Schizosaccharomyces pombe: one gene and its partner. The protein of the gene in region 1 purifies or fractionates together with the protein of each later gene. This does not show direct contact. Each region holds a gene or a part of one and is shown on either strand. Other genes may lie near its edges.

What was found.
Region 2: the proteins of mcm6 (region 1) and cdc45 purify together in Schizosaccharomyces pombe (affinity purification with western blotting; 3 studies listed by BioGRID). This does not show direct contact.

The regions. Positions count from the first base shown.
Region 1 is NC_003423.3:3,881,115-3,885,046, reverse strand, and holds the start of mcm6 (MCM complex subunit Mcm6), read left to right. Parts: upstream 1-1,989; 5' UTR 1,990-2,050; coding exon 2,051-3,932. Other genes in the region: gamma tubulin complex GCP4 subunit Gfh1, read right to left, coding at 1-1,114; sap10 (splicing factor 3B), read right to left, coding at 1,452-1,623, 1,679-1,761, 1,824-1,826. UniProt on the Schizosaccharomyces pombe protein: Acts as a component of the mcm2-7 complex (mcm complex) which is the putative replicative helicase essential for 'once per cell cycle' DNA replication initiation and elongation in eukaryotic cells.
Region 2 is NC_003424.3:4,722,863-4,726,794, forward strand, and holds the start of cdc45 (DNA replication pre-initiation complex subunit Cdc45), read left to right. Parts: upstream 1-1,909; 5' UTR 1,910-1,940; coding exon 1,941-3,560; intron 3,561-3,601; coding exon 3,602-3,898; 3' UTR 3,899-3,932. Other genes in the region: pex7 (peroxin-7), read left to right, coding at 156-186, 514-646, 776-1,538. UniProt on the Schizosaccharomyces pombe protein: Required for initiation of chromosomal DNA replication. May have a role in regulating the MCM proteins nda1 and nda4.

The DNA of each region.
Region 1 (3,932 bases):
CTTCATCAAAGATACTTACAAGTTTTAGAAAAGATACACATTCTCCATATTCAGTAGCGAGATCAAGTAAAGAAATAGTTTTCCTTAAAACAACGGGTAAAATATCATCAATTACTACCCCTTGAACGTCATTTGAACTGCAATATTCACCACGAACGTCTCTGAACATTTCAGATAATGTTGGAAGAAACTCAACATTTTCAAGTAACATCACCATCTCTAGCATTTTTACCAAATCGAAAATCTGATGAAACGAAGCTAATTGAAATATTATTTTTTCTGATACCAGAGTGAACATTTCATCTGCTAATTTTGTCACTGAAGATTTCGTTAAAGGCAAAGGCATTTCATATACCAGTCTGTAGAAACATCTAAGAATTTCACAGAAAGCGTCTGTGAAACATTTTTTTGCATTGAGCATACACGTTCGTATTGAAACTAAGCAATTAACGATGTCTTGGGTCAAAAAAGGGACATTATTGCTACAAGATACAAAATCTTTAGTATCACCGCATAAAAACGAACATTTGAAGCTGTCATCGCCGGAATCATTTACCAAATACTGCACTAATTCGTCAAGCCAAGTCTTCTGAAAAGCACATTCACACTCTAAAACCAGCTTTTTAAAATTCAAATGAGTAGAGCCCATATACATATTATGCAGCTTTTGAAACGTAGAAGCTACACTCAAGCATTGAGAAATATTACCTTGAAGTACTAGCAGACTAGATAAAGTTTCTTTCCAATCTGCTAAATGCGCTTCTAATTGCGCCAAGGATACGAATTTTCCGGAACCTACAAAATAAGGATCGCTGGATATAATCATCCGCTCTAAATTAGCTAGACTTTCATCATAAAGAAATAATTTTTTCGAAAGCAGAAGTCTAAGAGCTTTAAGAAGAAACTGGTTTTGCTGAATCAAATCTTCATCAAAAATTTCAATATATCGTTCTATCCTTTTCCTTTTACTTGCCAAAGATACTATGTCATTAATTAATTCTCGTTCACCAGGGTGTAATGGTTGAACAGATGGATGCAGTAGTATTTGACCATTTTTCTCAATAAACAGGCCAGAAGTATTCCCTGCGAGCAACAAAATAATCTCATGCAACATATAATGTATTTATTGTTACAGAGTTTGCATGAAAATATTCAACATATAGCCAATTTAAGTAAACTACTCCAAAGGAGGCTTTCGTAGTAAATGAGATAAATAGCTAAAACTTATTCGTGTTACTTTGAAGGTAACGACTAGGGAATGTCTTGCGTTGTTACAATGAACAATAATCAATGTAGCATTGCATATAATTCAATTAATATATATATATATATATATATATATATATTATTTTGTAATAACCTAGTAGGTACTGTTTATCTTAAACAAACAAAGTCTCAGACGAGCGAAGGTTTAACGACATTAATTTTGGGCAACAGGTAAACACAACACTTTAAAATTGATTAGAAGGGGGAGGTGGTCCACATGGCATGATCATTTTTTCTAATAGGTTTTTGCGAACTTGGACTCTCGGTTCGCCGAGCGCCGTTGCCATATATGCGAGCAACGGTGGATGCCCCACTACAGAAGACAAAGTATCCCGGTGCTGATTTACCATCCATTCACTAGTTTATATGGTGAGCGAAAATTCATTTGTCAAATAAACCGATTAGTACTTACTATTTGGTGGTAAACGCATTACCGACACCAACATAACGCGCTTGTAACTGTTCTAGTTTTGCTTGAGAGCGCAACCTGTCTGCCTACAATCGTTAATAAATGAAAGAAGCATAGAATAGAGATAATTCAAGAATTTTTTTCTTACCATAGTATATATTGGAATATGTGGTATAATGTTCAGACTGGGTTTTTTTAACACATATTGTTAATTGAAACGAATAAGGTATAATACTGTAATTTGCAATTCTAAATTGCGATTTCTAGCGCACCAAAGCAACCACAGAAATAAACGTTTCAAAATAAACATTGCTATCCTTTGACCAAAAACCTGTAGTTGCAGTTTTTTGATAATAGGGAGCACTACACTTGAAGATGTCTTCTCTTGCATCTCAGGGTAATAATGCTTCAACTCCTGCATATCGTTATGGGTTTCAAACTTCAGAAGTTGGGGACAGGCCAACTGTAAGTATGCCTTCACAACCTGAGTCGAGTGCTATGCTCGAGGATGATGGAATGGTGAAAAGGAAACCTTTTGCTGCTATAGGAGAAGCCATACCAAAGGTAATTGATACAACCGGAGAATCAGTACGTGAAGCCTTTGAAGAGTTTTTATTGTCATTTTCTGATGACCGCGTTGCTGGAGGTGATGCTCTCCCTTCTGCATCACAAGAGAAATATTATGTTCAACAGATTCATGGATTGGCAATGTATGAGATTCATACCGTTTACGTTGATTATAAGCATTTAACCTCGTACAATGATGTGTTAGCTCTTGCGATAGTTGAGCAATATTATCGATTTTCTCCTTTCTTACTTCGAGCTTTACAAAAGTTGATTGAAAAGTTTGAACCAGAATATTATAGAAGTTCTCTTTCTCGTGAAAATGCTTCACTTTCACCGAACTTTAAAGCCAGTGACAAAACATTTGCTCTTGCATTTTACAATTTACCCTTTCGATCCACAATTCGGGACTTACGAACAGATCGTATCGGTAGACTCACGACTATTACAGGTACAGTTACTCGTACTTCTGAAGTACGCCCTGAATTAGCACAAGGTACTTTTATCTGTGAGGAATGCCACACTGTAGTTTCAAATGTTGAGCAAGCATTTCGCTATACTGAACCAACTCAATGCCCTAATGAACTTTGTGCTAATAAAAGAAGTTGGCGGCTCAATATTTCACAGTCTTCTTTTCAGGACTGGCAAAAGGTGCGCATTCAAGAAAATAGCAACGAGATTCCTACGGGTTCTATGCCACGAACTTTGGACGTAATTTTGCGCGGAGATATTGTTGAAAGGGCTAAGGCTGGTGACAAATGCGCATTTACGGGAATTCTTATTGCCGTTCCAGATGTCTCACAGCTAGGAATTCCTGGTGTAAAGCCAGAAGCTTATCGAGATTCTCGCAATTTTGGTGGTAGAGATGCAGATGGTGTGACAGGACTGAAGTCTTTAGGTGTACGTGATCTTACATATAAACTATCTTTTTTAGCTTGCATGGTTCAACCAGATGATGCAAATGATAAAAGCGGTGCGGATGTCAGAGGGGATGGTTCTCAAGGGATCGAAGAGCAAGATGAATTTTTGCAATCGCTTTCTCAAGAAGAAATTGATGATTTACGTGCGATGGTGCATTCAGATCATATTTATTCTCGTTTGACAAACTCACTGGCTCCCTCTGTTTATGGTCATGAAATAATTAAGAAGGGGATTCTTTTACAGTTAATGGGTGGTGTTCACAAGTTAACTCCTGAAGGTATAAATCTTCGTGGCGACCTGAACATTTGTATTGTCGGCGACCCCAGTACTTCGAAATCACAATTTCTTAAATACGTTTGCAATTTTCTTCCTCGTGCAATCTACACTTCTGGAAAGGCATCATCTGCGGCCGGTCTCACAGCTGCAGTTGTTAAGGACGAAGAAACTGGGGATTTTACTATAGAAGCAGGCGCTTTAATGTTGGCTGACAATGGAATATGTGCTATAGATGAATTCGATAAAATGGATCTGTCAGACCAAGTTGCTATTCATGAAGCAATGGAACAACAAACGATATCTATAGCAAAAGCTGGAATTCAAGCTACATTAAACGCACGGACATCTATCCTTGCTGCTGCAAATCCAATAGGTGGCCGCTATAACCGAAAAACAACTTTGCGGAATAACATCAATATGTCTGCTCCTATCATGTCACGGTTTGATTTATTCTTCGTTGTACTAGATGAGTGCAATGAATCAGTTGATAGACATT
Region 2 (3,932 bases), on another chromosome or scaffold:
AAAGTTGCTTGGAGCATAAGTAGAAACACTTATTGGCAAAACTATATAAGAAAAATATCTAAGCCGAGCTGCGAAATAATTCCGTTTCATGACTGGAATTTTTTTCTTGTAAACGAGCAATTCTTCGAGGGCAACGTGCTTGTGTTTATTTGCCCATGCTGTCATTGAGGACTCCTGGGTTTCAAGGTAAGCTAAATAAAGGGAAGCGAAGCAAGACAAAATATTATATGGTACTAGTACTAGCGATAGTACAACTGCTTGAGAAAAATACAAATAAAATGAACGAATATTACCGAACTATAACTAAACTAAATTCAAATGATGTAGAAATACGAAATTTTGTTATTACTGAATATTTTCTTTATTTTGTTTATATTTTATTTTATTTTGTTTTGTTTTGTTTTGTTTCCTTTTAATTTTCCTTCCTTTTTATTGGAAAAAAAAAAAGAAAACAAAACAAAATAAATATCTTGGAATGCATAATTGTACATCGTTACTAACAATATTCGCTAGGTGAAAGTGTTCAATTCTCTCCACTTGTCGAAAACAAGATCGCTGTTGCAGCTGTCACCCATTATGGATTAGGCGGAAGCGGACGTCTTTATATTCATGATGTTACGCCAAAAGGAATTCAAGTTTGCCAACAGTAAGTAATTGTGCGATTACTGCTCTTCATTATTAGACTTTTGCACAAAACACTTTTAACCATTAGTTATTATGATGAAAACAGTCTCTAAATCCTACGAAATGAAATTTATCTAACGTTAAATACTAGCTATGATGTCGAGGATTCTTTGTTTGGTGTGCGCTGGTCTCAGAATTGTGAAAATCAAGTCTACGCTTGCTGTGGTGATGGTTCTTTGAGACTATTTGATTTGACTATGCCCTCTAAGCCCATCCATAAATGGAAAGAGCATAAAGCGGAGATTGTCGCAATAGACACAAATACGGTTGATCGAAGAATTGTAGTTACGGGCTCCTGGGATGGGACTATCAAATTATGGTTAGGCAATTTGCCTAACAGTGTGCAGACGCTCAACAATGGTTCGAATTCAAGGATTCTTACAGTTGCTACACATTATAGCTCTCCAAATTTACTCGGGTATACATCAAGTGATGGATTATGCAAATTTTGGGATTTCCGGTCTTCCGATAAATTTATGTCCATTGAAATACCGAATCAAATTACTTGCATGAATTGGAGCAAGTCTAATCATCGTATGGTTTACACGGCCGACAATAACAATCTGGTTTACTGTTACGATATCGCGAATTTAAAGACGCCTCTGTCCGTATTGTCTGGTCACCAACTTGCTGTTCGAAGTATAAAATCGTCCAATTCCGCCCATGATCTTTTGGCTACAGCAAGTTACGATATGACTTCTCGAATTTTTGACCCGGAACAGCACTCTTGCATAAGAAAAGTTGATTTGCATTCTGAATTTGTCCGTGATGTTGATTGGAGTGATTTCGGCGATGGATCTTGGATTGCAAGTGTTGGTTGGGACGAATCTTTGTATATATGGAACGCATTTTAAGTTGCTGCTGTTTTTAATTTAAGATTTTATTACACTGATTCAAAGACGAAATGTTCGAACGCTCGGAATAAATTCGTTGTGCACATGTTCACCTTGGATTATATCACCAGAAAACAGCGATTACAAATTATTTTTACGATAGTTTAGGTAGCTCAAGTGAAAAATTTAGTAACTAGAGTAATTATAATATGATTTTTGGCATTTGGCATAAAATGAGAAAGGGTTGTTTGCAATGCCTACAAAAATTTCTTTTTTTTGTAACTACTATTGCGTAGCTTTGACTTGTATATTAATGCGCTATTGTTTAGGAAATATAAAGCGACTCAAAGTGCTTTACCTTCCTTTGTACTGACCACCTGGTAATTTCCTCCATGATCCACCACCAGTAACGTTTATTTATTAATGTTCATCAAGAGATCCGATTACGCCTCTGCTTACTTGAAAATTAAAGAAGCAAGTGTATCTGGTGGATGCACAGTTCAGCTCTTTGTTGCTTTAGACCCAGACGCGCTTTGTGCATGCAAGCTATTGTCCACACTTTTGAAAGGCGATTTTATTTCACATAAAATTAGGCCTGTATCGGGCTATCGAGACCTTGAACAAGCAAATAAAACTTTGCTAGAGCAAAATGAAGATATCAAATTCATTATACTTTTGAATTGTGGAACGATGGTGGATCTAAATAATTATCTTGTTTCTATGGAAGACGTATCTATCTATGTAATTGATTCTCATAGGCCGCATAATCTAAATAATATATACATTGAAAACAATATTTTTGTTTTCGACGATGGAGATATTGAAGAAGACATGAATAAAATTCATGATGCTTGGTATGCATTTAATTCGCATGAGCTATCAGATGAAGAAAATTCCGATTCCAGTAATGAGCGAGAGGAGGAAGTCGAAGATGACAACCGATCTGTGGAATCTTACAGCTCATCCGATTATCAAGCACGAAGTCGTAGGCGTTTTTCAGAGGAAACGACGCAACGTCGAGCTGAAATTAAGGAGAAAAGGAAAAAACGGAAAGAGTTCGCCTCTATCCTTTCTGAATATTATGAGAAAGGAAGTTGGTACGGCGAGTCAATTACCAATATCCTGTTTGCAGTAGCATCCATGCTTGGACGTGAGGATAATGACATGTTGTGGTTAGCGATTGTTGGGCTCACCTGCTTGGAAATTCACTGCCAATCCTCAAAAAAATACTTCAATAGGTCCTATTCTTTATTGAAAGATGAAGTCAATCGCTTGAACCCTTCACCACTTGAAAATCAAATAGTCGGTCGCGCACATGGTAAGACACCCCATGATCAGTCAATTCGGCTTGAAGATGAATTTCGTTTTATGCTAGTAAGACATTGGAGTCTTTATGATTCTATGCTTCATTCTGCTTACGTTGGTTCGAGACTTCACATTTGGAGCGAGGAAGGACGCAAACGACTACATAAGCTTCTTGCAAAAATGGGACTCAGTCTGGTGGAGTGTAAACAAACTTATATTCACATGAACATGGATTTAAAAAAAACTTTGAAAAGTAGTCTTAAAAGATTTGCACCGTTTTATGGTTTAGACGATGTGATATTCCATAGTTTTACTCGGACTTATGGATTCAAATGTACACTTAGTGCAAGTGACGTTTCTTATGCTATCAGTGCATTATTAGAAATGGGTAATACAGGTGTTTTGCTTCAAAGCAAAACTGTCGCTCGAAGCCCGGATATGACGGAGGAAGAATATTTGGAGAAGTTTGAAAATGCTCAAAATCAAGAATGGTTGCACAATTTTTATGATGCATACGACGCCTTGGACGATGTCGATTCATTAGAAAGAGCATTGAAGTTAGCAATGCACTTACAAAGAGCCATTGTTCGTACTGGAATCACCTTACTTGAAAAAAGAGCCATTAAAACGTTGAGATCTTTTCGTTTTGGACTTATCAACGAAGGACCAGATCTGAAAATATTTATGCATCCCCTTGCGTTAACAAAGATGAGTCTTTGGATTGCTGAAGCTATTAATGTAAGTGTCTATTGATTTTAACGTTTGACTAACACTTGAAGGAGCAAGAACGAGAATTTGGAAAGCTTAGACATCTTCCTCTTGTTTTAGCAGCTTTTGTAGAGGAAAAAAATAGGTACTTAATAGTTGGAACTTCTACTTCCGCTTTTACTAGCAATGAAGATGACGATGATGACGACGGTCATGGACACAATCGTTTTGGAGTTGCATTTCAAGAGGTTGCAAACATGACATCTGCTACTTTGCAAATGGACTGTTTTGAAGCAAGTGTGATTGAGTGTCAAAAAAGTGACCTCGGGGTTTTTTTAGAAAGTCTGTCCTTCAAAACACTATTATAAAGATTGGGTAAATAATGGGAATTTTGCTAATAAA